Linked DNA regions of Canis lupus familiaris. The protein of the gene in region 1 binds, or shares a complex with, the protein of each later gene. Links are inferred from orthologs where the notes say so. Each region holds a gene or a part of one and is shown in the gene's direction. Other genes may lie near its edges.

Region 1 (4,152 bases):
TTGGTATTTTGTACTCTGCTTTGAAAATTAGAGCACTACTTGTGGAAAGGTGGAAATTTGCACAGCAGAATAGATTGGCGTGCTAGATGTAATTCTGTTTAAAAAAAAAACGCTTCTCTACAGAATTTTCTAAAATGCAGGGTTTATCATACTCTGCACTGCCTCCTGTCTCCAAGTTTTATTTTTTTATTTTTATTTTTTTAAGATATTACTTATTCATGAGAGATACAGAGAGAGGCAGAGACACAGACAGAGGGAGAATCAGACTCCCTGCGGGGAGCCTAATGTGGGGACCCTATCCCAGGACTCCAGGACTGCGCCCTGGGCTAAAGGCAGGCGTTCAACTGCTGAGCCACCCAGGTGTCCCTGTTTCCAAGATTGATTGATTGATTTAAAGATTTTATTTCTTAATTCATGAGAGATACAGAGGGCAGAGAGGCAGAGACAGGCAGAGGGAGAGGGAGAGGCAGACTCCATTCAGGGAGCCCGATGTGGGACTCGATCCCGGGACTCCGGGATCATGCCCTGGACTGAAGGCAGGCGCTAAACCACGGAGCCACCCAGGGATCCCCTGTTTCCAAGTTTTAGATTTTGTAGGTCTCAGGAACAGGTCAGAGTATGGAGCGTATTATATAAACTGCTAAGTTTGCATTGAATTGGCTGTATGACTTAAAAGAAGTATTCTGGGCAAACCATTCCCAACAAGTGTGAAGTAGAAGTTTGTTTTGTTTTTAATTTTCCTAGATGAATATTTATGTACAGATTCAACTGTACTAACAAACATTGCTTTCTGTTGATAGATTAACGTCCTTCATAAACCACCATACGAACATCCAAAAGACTTGAAGCTTAGTGATGGTCGACTGCGTGTAGGATATGTGAGTTCTGACTTTGGGAATCATCCTACTTCTCACCTTATGCAGTCTATTCCAGGCATGCACAATCCTGATAAATTTGAGGTAAGGCTAGTGTTTCCCTAGAGACACCATGTTCTGTTTAGAAAAAACAACAAATAAACCATTTCTGGTTTTAGCATCACCATTGGGTGTTCATCCCAGTGTCTTTGAAAGATTTGAACCAAAGTTTTTACTTAGTTTAAAATTTAGTTTTCTGTTTGAAATACAGTTGACATATGGTATTACATTAGTTTAAGATGTACAACTTAGTGATTTCACAATTGTATTCACTACAAAATGCTCACCACAGCAGTGTGGTTACTGATTATTACCATACAAACTTATAAACATTATTGACTGTATTCCCTGTGCTGCACTTTTCATCCCTGTGACTTGTTAAGTTCCAACTGTTCGTTGGAAGTTTGTACATCTTAATCCCCTTTACCTGTTTAACTCATTCTCCTCACCCCCTTCCCTTCTGGCAACCACCAGTTTTGTTCTCTGTACTTATGAGTCTGTTTCTATGTGTTTTTTACTTGTTTTGTTTTATAGATTCTGTATATAAGTGAGAGCATATGGTGTTTGTCTTTGTCTTATTTCACTTAGCATAATATTCTCTAGGCCCATCCATGTTATGAATGGCAAGATTTCATTCTTTTTTATGGTTCCATGGCTACACATATATACGCACACACCCTCGGCAAATTCTTTATCCATTCATCTGTTGATGGACACTTAAGAGGTTGCTTGCATATCTTGTTGAGCCAAGGTTTTTAAACATATCGTGTGCTGCCTTTCAGGTATTCTGTTATGCCCTGAGCCCAGATGATGGCACAAACTTCAGAGTGAAAGTTATGGCAGAAGCCAATCATTTCATTGATCTTTCTCAGGTAGGTGAAACTCCTATACTTCAGACTTTTAATTTTGAGCAAATAGCGAATGAAACTATTGGTGTGTAGCTTGTATTTTTCATAATAGGTATTTATATCAGCCACTACATATGGACAATTACTTTGATCTTATTTCCTTCATCATTTATAATGAGCATGGATTGTGTTGAGGTTGCAAATGAAATAGAAATGGGGTCTCTTTGTGCTTGGATGTAAAACTCTTCTAGGAAATGGTGGCTTGGAAGAGGATTAGGTAGGTTACTTAAAATAGAAACTGTGGTTCATCATGGTTAAATCTATTTTTGTGGGCCTTTGCCTTTGGTTATCTTTATTTCTATACTTGTTCTGTTGCTATTTCTAGGAGCATAAATTTTATGATAAATTAAGATTGAAAGCTGTGGAGGAATTAATTTGGTGAGTGTAGAGGTTTTTTATGGACTCTGGGCCACTTTGGTGACTAATAGAGATATGCAGTGTATGGTATATCTAGTAATTGATACATGAATCATTGAAGTTCTAGCAAAAGGGTTGTGACATTCTTGTCATTTAATGAATGGTGTGTACCAACATCTTTGGCAATGTAACTGTTGCTTTGAGACTATACTCAACCAATGCAGGATTTGGACTCTTCATGACAAGAACCATACTGCCTTCCACCTTTGAGATAATTAAGGGACTCTACTTAGTGACCGGAGTCTAAACTCTTCAGCATGGCCTTCACAGTCTTTTTTTCCCCCCTCCAAAGATTTTATTTATTTTGGAGAGGGAAAGTGAGAGCTCGAGCTGGGGAAGGGCCAGTGGGAGAGGATCTCAAGTGGACTCCATGCTGAGCAAGAAGCACAACACAGGGCTCCATCTCACTACCCTGAGATCATGTCTGAGCTGAAATCAAGGGCTGATGCTTAACCGACTGGGCCACCCAGGCGCCCCAGCCTTCACAGTCTTAAGTCTGAGCACAACCATGTTTGCCAATACTTTTCACCTCCCATTTGCCCTCATATATACTCTGTACCAAATAGAAGTGATCTACTCAATATTTTAAAAATCTGTGCACTTTACCCGGGTTCTTTATTTGTACTGTCTTTTTTTTAAGATTTTATTTATTCATGAGAGACACACAGAGAGGCAGAGATATAGGCAGAGGAAGAAGCAGGCTCCATGCAGGGACCCTGATGTGGGACTTGATCCCAGGACTCCAGGATCATGCCCTGAGCCTAAGGCAGATGTTCAGCTGCTGAGCCACCCAGGCATTCCATATTCGTACTGTTCTCTATTGAGATTCTGTTCTGTCCAACTGCCTCAAGTGCTTATCCATCTTTGAAGGCCCATTTCAAAATCCAGCTCCTCTATGAAGCCTTGTTATTCATGCATTCAATCTAGAAGTAAATTCTCTTTCCTGTGTATTCTATTTCTGTAATGTTTTAGGCCCATTTTAATGGCACTTAAACATATTTTTTTATTTTTTTTATTTTTTATTTTTTTATTTTTAAAGATTTAATTTTTTTACTCATGACAGAGAGAGAGAGAGAGAGAGGCAGAGACACAGGCAGAGGGAGAAGTAGGCTCCGTGCAGGGGGCCCAACGCGGGACTCGATCCCGGGTCTCCAGGATCACACCCCAGGCTGAAGGCGGTGCTAAACCACTGGGCCACCGGGGCTGCCCAACATATTTTTTTAATGAAAAATTTTTTATTAACGTTTTAAAAATTTATTTTTTAGGATTTTATATATTTATGAGAGACCCATTCATGAGTGAGGTGGAGACCTAGGGAGAGGGTTCTGCATGGGGAGCCTGATGTGGGACTCGATCCCAGGATCTGGGGATCACGTCCTGAGCTGAAGGCAGATGCTCAACCACTGAATCACTCAGGCATCCCAACATTTAAAAAATAAATTTATTGATTGATTGATTGATTGATTTTTATTTATTCATGAGAGAGAAGCAGAGGGAAAAGGAGGCTCCGTGCAAGGAGCCCGATGTGGGATTCGATCCCGGGACTCCAGGATCATGCCCTGGGCCAAAGACAGGCGCTAAACCGCTGAGCCACCCAGGGATCCCCACATTTTTTAAATTTAAATTCAATTTGCCAACATATAGCGTAACACTAAGTGCTCATCACATCATATGCCCTCCTTAATGCCTATCACCCAGTTATTCTACCCCCCCACTGACCTCCCATTCTGCAACCCTGTGTTTCACAGAGTCAGGAGTCTCTCATGACTTAACCATATTTTTATACTGCATAAATGTAATTTGTCTTCTTACTATGTTTTGTACCTGTGACTCTGAATTCTATTTAATGCCATTAAAACTTATTGAATTAGTTTGAGATTATACATAGTGAGTTCTGTTTTTTATTGCATAGA
Region 2 (4,636 bases), on another chromosome or scaffold:
GAGAGAGAGAGGCAGAGACATAGGCAGTGGGAGAAGCAGGCTCCATGCACCGGGAGCCCAACATGGGATTCGATCCCGGGTCTCCAGGATCACGCCCTGGGCCAAAGGCAGGCGCCAAACCGCTGCGCCACCCAGGGATCCCTAGTTTTTCTTTTCAATATCATTTTCTTTCCTTTCAGTTCTTCGACAGATACACATTGACCATCTATTATTTGCCAGATTTGACAATTCAGTTGATATAAATAAAATAGTTCCTCACTCTAATTCAGGAAACAAATACAATCAAGAGAATAAATGAAACAAAACTGTGTTAATGCTCTGTTGAAAATGAATAGTGAAAAGGTAGAGAGTAATTGTCATGGCGCAGGCATTTGATCAACTGAAGCACTTCTACATTATGTAGCTACAGAGAGTCTCACCAAGGAGATGACAAATAGACCTTGCATGATGAAGAGTCAGCTTTGCAAAAAAGCAAAGCTTTTTTGCCTATGCGATGAGCCAGCAGCTGGAAAGAATGTAGGAAGAATCCTAGAAACTGAGAGAAAGTCAATATACCTAGAGGACAAGCAAGGGTGAAGGATTCAGGTGAACAGATTGGCTGTTTTAAGTAGGGTGGTGACATGATTAGATTTACATTTTAAAAAATATTTTATTTCTTTGAGAGAGAGGCGGAGCAGAGGGAGAGGGACATGAAGACTCTATGCTGAACACAGAGCCTGACAGGGGGCTCGAATCCCCCGACTTAGATCATGACCTGAGCTGAAATCAAGAATCAAGTCCCACATCGGGCTCCCTGCAGGGAGCCTGCTTCTCCCTCTGCCTGTGTCTCTGCCTCTCTCTCTTTCTCTCTCAGTCTCTCATGAATAAATAAAATATTAAAAAAAAATACAATCTGGCTGCTTTGTCTTTTCAATGTAAGTTAAAGTCCTCATTGCCCTCACAAATAACAAATGTTTAGCCAATCTCCTTGGGACTTCCCAAGTCCTATTGGGAAAACATTTCATACTCTTTTGATGTGGCTGCAACTCCGACCTTGGTCCCCAGAGGCGAAATACAGCTCCTCTCCACACCAGCAATTGGAATCCTTTCCAAGGAGTTAATGAGGCAAAGTGGAGGAGGTATTAGTGCAAAGACCCTGAGGGGTCAAGGAACCTGGCTTGCGCACTTGAAAGGGGTGGAAAACGTGGGAAAGCAGGATGTGTGAGATTGTGAGAGAGGCAGGTTAGGATTTATTAGACTTTGAAGAGCCTGGTTGATAGGCTACAGGGGGATATTAAGATTTCAACCCGAAGAACCGGGTTTGTGATTATATTTGAATTTTGAAAAGCTTCCACTGTGTGTGAAGAATGGTTTGGAAGGGGAAAGGGTAATGGGATGGAGGGCACGACCATCATCTAAGAGAGAGGGGGCCTAGACTGGAGTGTCAGCAGTGGGACGGAAAGAAGTAAGGGCTTCCAGATGCACTTGGGAGGCAAAATTAACAGGTGATGGATCGTGGGTGTCCAGTCCCAGGCTTCGTGTTACCTGACGAGTGGCGACTTCGTGCTCTGGATCAGGGCGCCGGCCTGGTTCCCGCGCGTCAGGGCAGTGGGCGTGGCCGCGGGGCCGTCTCCACGGGGAGCGAGCAGGGCGGGGCCGTGGGTGGGGCAGCTGGGGCGCTGCGTCACTCGGTGGTGGCGATGGTGCGTGTGTGTGGGGGGGCGGGGGATACGCTGGGCGCGTCCCGGGGGTCACGTGGTGCGCAGCACGCAGAGTCCTTCTGTCGGTTGGTCCTGGAGCGGCGCAGCCGGAGCGGGGCTGTGAGGTGAGCTCGCGACGAGGCGCGGCGAGGAGAAGCCGGAGGGCCGGAGCCGGGTTGGGCCGGGCCCGCGCCGTGCGCGCGCCGTGCCAGCGGCAGAGGAGACGGCCGCCGCCGCTGCCCGGTCCCCTGCCTGGCCTCGCTCTCCGCCCGGCCCCGCTCGCCCAGCCGGGAGGGAGGCCCGGGGACCGCTGCTGAGAGCGTGGCGGGCGTGCGAGCGGCGCCCAATCCCCAGGGCTGCCCGAGGGAATGACGGCGGTCGCGGCCAATCAGCGCCGCCCGAGGGGGCTGGGCCGCGGGGTGCGGGCTCGGGGCGCGGAGCGGGCCGCGTTGGGGGTGGGGGGTAAGCGCTGGGGCTAGAGAGAGGCTGAGCTGCGTGGTCCCCGAGAGCTCCACCTCCAGCCGCTGCTGTTGCCTTGTGCTTTGGGAATGCGTTTTCTTTTATTGACTCTTTTATCCTATTCTGGGGAGCACACCCCTTTCTCAAGCCCCTGACTATGGGAGTGTCCCCTTTCTCTATAGTTTAGAGAATGTGGTGCACTCCCTTTCTTAAACTCCAGCCCTGGGGTTTTATCTTAATTTCCAAAGCCCCTCAAACTGAGGATGTATCCCATTTCCCAGGCACCCCCCCCCCCCAAACTGGGAGGACACTCCCTTTTCCGAGCCACTAATCTGAACACGCACTCCCTTTCAAATTTTGGGGTTTGCTCCATAATTGACTCTCAGATCTGGGGTCCGGTAGCCAAAGTTTCGGGGATACTTCTATTCCCACATATCCAAGAAAGAATCTCCTTATCCTGGCCCCAGATCTTGCAAATGCTTTCCAAAATTTTTTAAATTTAGGGGCTGCTTCGTTTCCCCAGCCCTTGGGGGTGCTCCTTATTTCCAGAGTCTACTGAAAATGCGATCCAAATTCTGAAGTTTAAAGGTAGATATTTGCGGTTGCACAAATAAAGGAATTCACTGCTTTTTCTAGTCACTGTATTCTTGGGGTTGCACCCATTTTCATGAGTTCCTCAAATTAAACTACTTTATTTCCTGGGGGAGACTCAGGTTCATATCTGAGAGTGTATTTGTTTCCTGTGTTTCCAAAATGTACAGGATCCACTCCTTTTGGTTGCCCAGTCCTTGGGTTGCAGCCACCTTCCTGATGATTCTTAAATCTGGGAGGGCACACATTTTTTCTAAGTTCTCTCAGGCCTGCGCCATGATATCTGGTTCTTGAGCATGATGCCTCCTATCCTTTTTAGCTTTTCTTTTATCCAAGACATTTTCGTTACTCAGTTTACTTTCCTCTTTGGAACCCCATTTCCCTTTTAGGTGCTCTCCCTGCTTTGGTCAGGGCACCCATTTCCTCTTCCTTCCTCTGGTGAATGCTTATCTTTCTTTAGCACAGCATTTTCTCTGCTTCAGTGGCCTTTTTTCTGAGCACACTTCCTATAGTCACACCTTGAATTTCCCTCCCCCAAGTGAAAGATCCCTCCCTTAAAGGGTACCTGCATGCTGTCTTTCATACATCTATTTTACCTTTTATGTTTTTGCTTTCTACTAACAGGAACTCTTCTATCTTGGCTTGCCCTATCCCATTTTCTGCCTTTTTCTGGTTTCTAACTCCCTTTGGACAGTGCTCTGCTTACTGGAGTCTGTAGAGTTTTTCTCTTTTCTACCCTTTGAGCTGGCCTCAGATCCAGGACTGCTTGACCCTCCAGCGCTGAATTTAAACTGGAAAGGAAATCCCTTTACATTTCTTTGGTTATTCACAGGACTTTTAATCTTCCAGTGGTTTGCTTCCTATAAGATTCTGGTTAGATGTGTACTGTTTTCTCCTTTGCTTCTCTCCTCCCCCACCCCCATTGGGAAAAAATTCTGAAGAGAGTCTTCCAGTCTTCCAGCTCATAAACTTCCTCCCTACATTAGCTTTCTTCCTTCCTTTTATCAAGAAAATAGGTCATTTGGAGGAATCTCTTTGTCACTCTTTTTGTTATTTTCCCTGAGTTGCAGGTGGGGGATGGATACTTACCTCTTATCATTTTCTCACATGTCTGCCAAGCCTTGCTCCCAATCCCCATCTTAAAATCACCAAATATCTGGGACCTCTTGTCTCTTAAAAGCCTCTCAGTAGGTTCTTTCTTTTGTATTTCCCTCTGTCTTTCCAGATCTTACTCAGGGCTTCTCTGAGCCCCTAACCGGCTTAATTTCTCCACAGCTGGAATCCCAAGTGCTTATGGGATAATGATACTTCTGACCTTTCTCCCTTTTGGGAAGTACTTGAGTGTGCAGCTGTATGAGGCCTCAGTGGGGGAGAGAGTTTGGGCCTGAGAAGCTACACTGGCAGGATGAGGCAGGAAGGTACTGCATTTTCAGGACCACTTCCTTCTGAATCTCATTTGGAGATTGGATGTTTGCCAAGCACCTGCTTCTTAGGGATGCTGGAGGATTTAATGATACTCGCAGGAACCTGTAGGAATTAATGGAGATTGTGAAAAAGTGCTCTGAACTCAGTGTTGGAGCTTGAATACAATTAACCGTTACTATATTTTCAGAACAACTAAGTGTTTTATTTTTCATGGTCATGAAAGCCCTAGAGCTAAGGTGTGTTATTTCAGGAAGTGAAATGGATCCCACATTTAGATCATGTGGTGGTTAATAAGTACCAAATTGATAAAAAACACTGGAGGTCTGTCTGAGCAGTACCTAATAAAATATGATACACAGAAAGTGAACAGATATTTCATCTCTTTATACGCCTGTCTGGTATTTTATCTGCTTGGTACTGCTATATACAGTGCACCTTTAAAGTATTCTGTGTCCATGCTTCTCAAACTTGAATGTGCATAT
Region 3 (3,260 bases), on another chromosome or scaffold:
GGAAGCAGGCCAAGTGTTGTTGCTGAGTTTACAGAGGGGAAGCTGTGGTTCAGTTTTATGAATGGAGGGGACAGGCCCAGCGTGCAGTCAAGCTCTGCTGATTCCTGGTCCAGGGGTCTTTCATGATGCCAGGCTGCTTCTCGCTGCATCACTGAGTGCCAAGTCGCCTGGTGTTGACTGAATGTGGGAGATCCCAGAGATCTATGCACACCCGCTGCCAGAGAGCAGGCTGGGCTGGATCGGTGTTAGACATGGACCCTCTGTCCGTGCAGTTGGGCTTTCATTCTCACCCTGATGGTTGATTGATTCATTCAATCTGCAAGGCTGTAGAGTTGTGCCCTCGGCGAAGGTTAAGGTTTGGAGAGGGTGAGAGGGAACAGCATGGCCAAGGCTTGGAAGTAGGCCCCATCAGGGCTTGGCTTGTTGGAACCCAGCATGGAGATAGATAAGGTGTAAGATAGGCTCCTGCCCTCGGGGGGCTTGCACGTGGGCCGGGGGGCACCAAACATTTGTAAAGGAAGCACCTAGGAAGCACTCATAATAGAGACCATTTATGAAATGCTAAATTTACACAGAACTTTTTCTTTTGGGAGCATTTTTTCCTGAGGGGCGGGGGAGGCAGGCTGCTTCTGATGGAGTCGACAGGAAGGAGCTGGGGCACTGGGGAATGCTAGGGCAGAGTGCCTGACTCCAGGAAGGAGGCAGAGAAGAATCATGGCTGCAGGAAATGGGTTGGGGAAGGGGAGGCGGAAGGGTCTCTGCCACAGCAGTTGACCCATCTCTTGCTGGGGTTGGCACCTGGGCTTTGTGGGAAGAGGAATTGAACGGCAGAGGCCTCTGGGAAGAGAGAGCCGCTGATCTGGGGCACAGGGTGGCCCGAGAGCCCACCTGTCCCGGCCGTGCTGCCTCGCTCTGCACCCTCTGCCAGCATGGGTGCAGGGGCCATGCTTTCTTGGGAATGCAAACCCTGGACCTCTTTTCCTGCTAGAACCAGAGCTGGGGACTCTTATAGTGGGGCCCCATCCCCTTCCTCCCAGGGGCCCGCAACGGCCAGCGACTCCCAGCGCTTGCAGGGGCCAGTTGAACAAGGGGCTTGGAAGCCTCCTGGCACATCCGCCTCTTGCCCTTGTCCTTCGCTCTGTCCTCTTCCTGAACTTAGGGCTGATGACGTCAGCTGGGCTCCCCTCATCCCTCTATCAAAGTGAGGTCCCCCCTCCCCACTGCAGAGTAAACTCAACCTCAAGGCCAAGGGCGCGGTGACAATGGAGCCGTGAGTCATAAAACAAACACGCCCAACTGTCCCGTGGCTTTTCCATCTCCAGCCGGGCCCTGAGAGTGGCCGCATCTGCCTCTGCGGCCTCCGCAGTCCCCGCCGTAGCTGCGTTCCCGAAAGCAGCAATTCTCGAGTTATTTCACTCCATAGCGGATGATGGCTCCACGCCACACCTCCCGCTAGGGCCGGATGGCCAGGCATCCGTAAGCTCCAGCCCGCGTTGAGGGTTTGTGATTTGGTCGGGGGAGGCAGCTGTCCTCAGAAGTAATCCCGGCTACCCCTCATGGACTCCCGTGCGCCCAGGGCTCCAGCGCAGTTACGTGATCCAGCCTCACGACCGACCCTGTGAGGCCCGGACTAAGTTAGGCTCAGTTTATAGGTGAGGAAATGGAGGCTTTGGGACATGGCCCAAGGTCACGTGGCCAGTACCAGGAGGGCCTAAGTGAACCTCCTCCCCACCCATCCCCTTATTTTGCAATGAGGCTGAGGACTAATGTGTGGGGCAGGGGAAGGAATATCAGCCCTGCGCGGCTCCTGGATGGAGGGGGCCCAGGACTGCCTCCTCCTGCTCTGAGGAAAGAGCTGCTCTCACAGGTCTCTCCTCTGCCCCCAGGTTGGCCGGAGATGGCGTGGGAGCCGTGAACATCTGTAAGTCCTTGGCTGTGGCCCTTCTCCTGTGCTGTCTAGACCAGGCTGGGCCTGCAGGATGGCACGCTGGCCCGAGGGCCTGGCCTTGTCCTGCCCAGGAGCTTCTTCTTTCCCTTATGGGCTTTTAGCAGGTGCCCTGGAGCTCCCAGCCCGTCAGGCTCAAAGGCCCAGGGAAGCCGTGCAAGAGGGCAGAGCGGGGCGTGGGGCATCCGTGGTGCAGCCCCTGTGGCTGGCGCGGGCTCCTTCTGGGCTGGCCTGCGGAGGGTGCTGAGGAGGAGAGGCAGTGGGGAGGGAGAGTAGGGTGGAGTGAGGGATGGGCCTCGTGCTGATGGAGCCCTCCTCCCTTTTCTCCCAGCTGTGGTGAACTCCACTGGCGGAGGCGGCAGCGGCCTGAGCTTCGGGGGGACCATGGGCAGCAATGCCCTGAGCTTCTCCAGCGGCGGCGGACCTGGTGCCTTCAGGTCCTATTCCATCAGGACCTCAGCTGCCACCCATAGGAGCATTCGGAAATGAGCTGCGGTGTGCGGAGACCTGTACCCCTACCTACCCACCCCCCTCTAGCCCCCCAGTCACATGAGGGCTCCCATCCCTGATACCAAGACTTCCAGGCAGTCTGAAAATGATGTCAGAAGAGCTAAAAAAAAAAAAGAGAAAAAGAAGAGCTTCTAATAAAGCAGCCTTTCCGAAGCCTGGGTGAGGCCCACCTTGGTACCTGGAATCCTGGCTTCATAAGCTGGTGGAAAGGGTTGGGGAGGAAGGGGCCTTCGAGAGCATATAGGGTCTGCTCTGAATACTGAGAAGGCCTTTGTGCAGGCAGCTGGGAAAGCCCGTTGGTGCGTGTGGTGGACCCTTCGGGGCATGGCTCTCAGTCCTATAAGGCCTTGGCCTCCTCCCAGAGCTGGGGCTGAGTCCAACCCCTCTCCTGAAACCCAGGGAAGTCTGGCTCTGCCAGGGAGGGGGCACTGAAGTCCTCTCCTGCTGAGGGAGTGGGAGGGCTGTTTGCACAATCCCGACCCCTGTGTCTGTGCTGCCGAGTACCTTCCTTGGTGTGAGGAGGCCCCAGACGTTCAGCTGCCATAGGCCTGGGCACACCAGCCAACTCCCAGGCCAGTTGGTCCTTGCAGGTGTTGGGTCCGCCTGGCCCTTGGGCCCTGGAGGGAGCTCTCTGGGTCTGGGACTCGTGGGGGTGGTGATGGCAGCGGGAGGAGGTCTGTGTGCCTTTGGGAGGGGGTAGGGTGAGGAGGTCCAGGGTCTAGCTCCATGGCGGGAGGCTCGGTGCCAGGTCCATGGGCTGCGGCTCTGGATCCCTGGCAGGGGGAGGGGCATCTGGGTGTCGTCT
Region 4 (4,950 bases), on another chromosome or scaffold:
GTTCCAAAGTGTTTTTCTTTTAAAAAACAAAAACAAAAAACCTCCACTAAGTTTTAAAAGTGCATTTAAGAATACATGTGATTTTAGAGTGGAACTGCCAGCCCTGGCGATTGCTGTATTGCTTTTAGAAAGTTCTATGCCTGGTGACACCTCTGGAAGGTACTTGATAATCATTTCGATCTGTTTCCTTCATTTCCTTTTTGTTCTTTTAACAGATCTATCTATCCCTGTGGGTGGTGTCTAGGAATTCAAGACACCTTGGTTTTTGTGTTCACTTGAGCTGGGCAGCTGCAATCAGCTTTATGCAAATTAGGCATGGCCCATCTAGGGGCTCCTGGTTGGTGGCTAATAAAGTGAGGAGAGGGAAAGATGTCACCCCAAAAGTAAGCACCTCTCATTGGCATTGGCCAGGCCAGACACTTAACATCGTTTACATGGTTCTGTGTAATTATAAAGTTTATGTGTATAAAGCGAAGCTGTTTCTGTGAAACTGTATATTTTGTAAATAAATATATTGCTACTTTGAGGTTCATGCCTAGCTTCAGGTGTTTGTTTTCTGTGGGGGTGGACAATGGTTTTTCTCCTCCCTTCATCACCCCCAAACCGGGATGACAGAGACCTGGGGAGATAAAGTGCCCACAACTCTTCATTTACTTTTCTAGTAAATTCTCCAGGATCAAACCACAGTATGAATAGACATGAATCGCTTTCACAGTTTCATCATGCTGTGGATTGGCTTAAATCCCAGTGAGTAGTTACCTGCTTTGTTAAAAGCTGCAGTCTCATTCTCCCTCTGCCTATGTCTCTGCCTCTCTCTTTCTCTCTCTGTGACTATCATGAATAAATAAAAATTAAAAAAAAAAAAAAAAAAAAGCTGCAGTCTCCTCCGAGGTTCTGCAAGCAGGTTTGCAGTCTCCCAGAGGTGCTCATTCTGTCCCTTTACACTTGGGGGTCCCCACTGCCCCTGCCTTTTCTTTGAGCTGTGTCTGCCCACCTCTAATCTGGGACCAACTAGTGGTCACCTAGTACCTCCTTTCTGAGCAGCCAAAACCTAGTATCAACACCTCTTAAAACCTCGGAGATCCTGGCCAGGTTGGGCTGTGAGCCGTCTGTGGTATCCAGGTGTTCAAGGCTGTTGGTGGGTGTGTCTTGGCTCCTCAAAGCAAGGAGGTGAGGGCCCCGGGCTTCGCGAACGGGTGGAGCTTGCGCCGGAGGCGCTGTTAGGGGCGTCGGGCCTGGGTGGGGCCCGGGAGCACCTCTAGTCGTGATACTCCGGAGTCCACCTGACTTGCGGGTCCGCAGGGAGCGCCCAGGGAGTTGACCCCGGAGCAGAGCGGAGGCAGCCCCGCCTTCCGCCCCTCCCCGCCCCGCCCCGCCCGCAGGCCCCGGCCTGGCCCCGCTGGCCCCGCCCCCCGTGGCCCCGCTCGGGTCTTCAGGCCTCCAGTGCCGGGCAGGCCCCAGCCGGCCTGCTGGCCCCGCCTCGCTCGCCGGACCCCGCCCCCCGTGGCCCCGCTCCAGTCCGCAGGCCTGGCTGTGCCCTGTGAGGCTCCGCCCCGCCCGCTAGCCCTGTCTCGGGTAGCCCCGCTCGGGTCCGCAGGCCCCGCCCCGCTCGCCGGCCCCGCCCCGCTCGCTGGCCCCTCCCCCCGCAGCTCCCGCTCGGGTCCGCCGGCCCGCCGCCGCCATCTTTGTTAGGGGCAGCTGGGCCTGGCGTCCGGAGATGCCGAAGTCGTGCGCGGCCCGGCAGTGCTGCAACCGCTACAGCAGCCGCAGGAAGCAGCTCACCTTCCACCGGTGAGGGGCAGGGGCGCCGTGGGGCGCGGGGGCCCGGCTGCCGACCCGCCTGGCGCCCCTGGGAGCCCGAGGCCTGGCGCGCCGGGCGGGGACGGCCAAGGGCGTGCAGCCGGGTCCTCCGCGGAGGGGCCGGCGGCCCGGGGACAGGGGGATGCCCCGCGGCCTGGGCTCGTGGGGAGACGATCGGAGAGGCCGAGCAACCTGCCCAAGGCGCACAGCCTTACCCCCACGTCGGCTGGGGCGGTCGCTTGCGGAGGAGGCCGGGGTGGGTCGCCGGGTCCGCAGTCCTGGGGTGTCAGTCCCTCCCCGAGACCCGATCTTGTTCTCAGATGCAGCCTGGAACGCGGCTGGTGCTCCGTGCGTGCGGGCTGAATGCGTCTCCGAATGAATGAGTGGTGGTGACGCGGGGGGTTCGCCCCGGCCAGGCCTCGGGTCAGGAAGCTGGGGAGCGGAGCCCTGAGAACGTTCCAGGGTGTTGGGGAGCGCGGCCGGCCCTGCAGCCCTGCAGCCCTGCAGCCCTGCAGCCCTGCAGCCCGGGCGGGAGGCTTGGAGCCTGTCCTCGCGCTCCCGGCGCTCGCAGCGTGTCGGCCCTGGGCCCCTGTCCCGGGTCCCGGCCCGGCCCCTGCCCGGGAGAACGCAGCTTCCAGCCACCGCCGCCTAGAGCGCGACCCCCAAGGCCAGCTGCACTGTCTCCACCGCCCCTCCCATCACCATTTTCCTTCTCCCAAGTGAAGGTTTTTATTGAAGTAGACCTACAGAAAAGCACACAAATGATAATTCCATGGCCCAGGCCATTCCGCAAAGTGAACACCTGTGTGACTGTGAACCAGAACATCAGCCCCTGGGGAATCCCCTCCCCCACCCCCGGACATCCCCCAGAGTGGCCCGCATCCTGCCTTCTGTCCGAGCCCGGTGCTCTGGCTTGGGTTGAACTTGACACACCAAGTCCTATGCTGTGCTTTCTTGTGTCTTTTGCTCATGTTTATGAAGTCACCTGTACTTGGAGTGGCTGCCCTGCCTTCCTCCCCATCTCTTGAGGTCCTCTGCTGAATGAATATGCCAGAATTGACTTGTTCTAGAAGGAAAGGGCATTTGGGTGTTCCCGTATTTTGGCCATGACAGGCCCATGACTCCTGCTCAGCCCTCTCAGCCAAACCCACCTCTGGCTGTGCCCCCAACATGCTGGGTGCATCCCAGTGCCTTTATTCTTGCTCTTCCTTCTGATAAGACAACAACGTTGGCTGGCTCTCCTGCTTCTTGCAGCCTCTGCTCAGATGTCACCTCCCAAGAGGCCTTCATGACCACTGCCTCCCTTTATTCATTTGTTTTTAAAAGATCATTTATGTATTTATTCATGAGAGACACAGAAGAGAGGCAGAGACACAGGCAGAGGGAGAAGCAGGCTCCCCATGAGGAGTCCGATGTGGGACTCCATCCCAGGACCCCGGGATCATGACCTGAGCCAAAGGCAGATGCTCAAGCACTGAGTCACCGAGATGCCCCCTACTCTTTATTCCTACACAGTTCTGTATCTGTTGGGTCTGCTGTCTGTTTTCCTGTTCTAGAATGTAGGCTCTCCGAGGGTGGGGCTGTTTGTTCCTTCCCACATCCCAGTGCCTGGGACAGGGCCATCCCTGGGGGAATGGACACTGGCTCAGCCTTTGAGTACTCAAAGACTAATGGACCAAAGCCTTTGGAAGGCTTTCTGGCCACGTTCATGGCCTCACATTGCACACTAAGGATACTGTAAACTGGCATGACAGAAGCTTCCAGAAATAGGATGTAGTTTAACAGAGTTACTCAATTTTCGAAGCTGTCTGGTAAAATACCATGTGGTATTTTCAGAATTGCAGCGAACCCCACGGTGTTGACTTGAGCTTCGCAGATTCCTCTATGTCTCCCTCCTTTGCTTCCCAGGTTCCCATTCAGCCGCCCGGAGCTGCTGAAGGAATGGGTGCTGAACATCGGCCGGGCCAACTTCAAGCCCAAGCAGCACACGGTCATCTGCTCAGAGCACTTCCGGCCCGAGTGCTTCAGCGCCTTTGGAAACCGCAAAAACCTGAAGCAGAATGCTGTGCCCACCGTGTTTGCCTTTCAGGACGCCACGCAGGTGAACACACCACTGTCGTTACATCTCCACTCAGGCCTCCAGGGCGCCCGTGCAGGTGTTTGCAGGGGCAGTGGGGGCGGAGGCTGACGAGTGCAGGGAGGGCAGCGCTGTCAGGCCCCTGGGGTCCAGAGCCCGGTGGTCCTGCTGGCTGTGACCTTTGCTTTAGGTAACTTATAATTTAAAGCCCCTTTATTTATTTTTTTAAAATATTTTTTATTTATTTATGAGTGAGAGACAGAGAGGCAGAGACACAGGCAGAGGGAGAAGCAGGCTCCATGCAGGGAGCCTGACGCAGGACTCGATCCCGGATTCCCAGGATCAGGCCCTGGGTTGAAGGCGGCGCTAAACCGCTAAGCCATCCGGGCTGCCCTAAAGCCCCTTTAAAAATGTATCAGGCGGGTAGCCCGGGTGGCTCAGCGGTTTAGCACCGCCTTCAGCCCAGGGCGTGATCCTGGAGGCCCGGGATTGAGTCCCACATCAGGCTCCTTGCGTGGAGCCTGCTTCTCCCCTTCTCCCTCTGCCTGTGTTTCTGCCTCTCTCTCTCATAAATAAATAAAATCTTAAAAAAAAAAAATGTATCAGGCATGGGGCGCCTGGGTGGCTCAGTCTGTTAAGCATCGGCTCTTGGTTTTGGCTCAGGTCATGACCTCAGTGTTGTGGAATCAAGCCCAAAGTGGGGCTCTGTTGAGTGTTCTTTTTCTCCCTCTCTCCCTCCCTCCCTCCCTCCCCCTTTATTTCCCTCCCTCTGTGCGCGCCCCCCCCCCCCCCCATCACACTTTACAACCAAAAGCTGCTGAGGATTGTATTTATTTATTTGACATGGTGGGAGGGTGGAGTGTGCACAAGCAGGGAAAGTGGCAGGCAGAGGGAGAGAGAGAAGCGGGTTCCCCGCTGAGCAGGGAGCCCGATGTGGGGCTCCATCCTAGGACCCTGGGATCATGACCTGAGCTGAAGGTGATGCTTCACTGTCCGAGCCACCCAGGTGTCCCTGCGCATTTCATTTTTGCTGGCGTCACGTGGGCACGAGGCCACACAGTGAAGATCTGGCA

What was found.
Region 2: OGT (region 1) and PHF20 share a complex: the UniProt entries of both Homo sapiens proteins name them as parts of the NSL complex. The link is inferred for Canis lupus familiaris from reciprocal best matches to the Homo sapiens genes OGT and PHF20.
Region 3: the proteins of OGT (region 1) and KRT7 are in contact, whole or in part, in a crystal structure (PDB 4XIF), measured with the Homo sapiens proteins. The link is inferred for Canis lupus familiaris from reciprocal best matches to the Homo sapiens genes OGT and KRT7. Residues at the interface, in NP_858058.1 of Homo sapiens: His506, His508, His509, Asn567, His568, Pro569, Tyr642, Thr643, Lys644, Gln849, Phe878, Val905, Ala906, Pro907; in NP_005547.3 of Homo sapiens: Val9, Phe10, Thr11, Ser12, Arg13, Ser14, Ala15.
Region 4: OGT (region 1) and THAP3 share a complex: the UniProt entries of both Homo sapiens proteins name them as parts of the THAP1/THAP3-HCFC1-OGT complex. The link is inferred for Canis lupus familiaris from reciprocal best matches to the Homo sapiens genes OGT and THAP3.

The regions. Positions count from the first base shown.
Region 1 is NC_049260.1:56,037,439-56,041,590, forward strand, and holds part of OGT (UDP-N-acetylglucosamine--peptide N-acetylglucosaminyltransferase 110 kDa subunit), read left to right. Parts: intron 1-800; coding exon 801-959; intron 960-1,696; coding exon 1,697-1,786; intron 1,787-4,151; coding exon 4,152-4,152. UniProt on the Homo sapiens protein: Catalyzes the transfer of a single N-acetylglucosamine from UDP-GlcNAc to a serine or threonine residue in cytoplasmic and nuclear proteins resulting in their modification with a beta-linked N-acetylglucosamine (O-GlcNAc).
Region 2 is NC_049245.1:25,185,840-25,190,475, forward strand, and holds the start of PHF20 (PHD finger protein 20), read left to right. Parts: upstream 1-1,673; 5' UTR 1,674-1,804; intron 1,805-4,636. UniProt on the Homo sapiens protein: Methyllysine-binding protein, component of the MOF histone acetyltransferase protein complex.
Region 3 is NC_049248.1:43,837,151-43,840,410, forward strand, and holds the end of KRT7 (keratin, type II cytoskeletal 7), read left to right. Parts: intron 1-1,886; coding exon 1,887-1,921; intron 1,922-2,276; coding exon 2,277-2,434; 3' UTR 2,435-2,639; downstream 2,640-3,260.
Region 4 is NC_049226.1:60,925,185-60,930,134, forward strand, and holds the start of THAP3 (THAP domain-containing protein 3), read left to right. Parts: upstream 1-1,649; 5' UTR 1,650-1,717; coding exon 1,718-1,791; intron 1,792-3,708; coding exon 3,709-3,901; intron 3,902-4,950. UniProt on the Homo sapiens protein: Component of a THAP1/THAP3-HCFC1-OGT complex that is required for the regulation of the transcriptional activity of RRM1.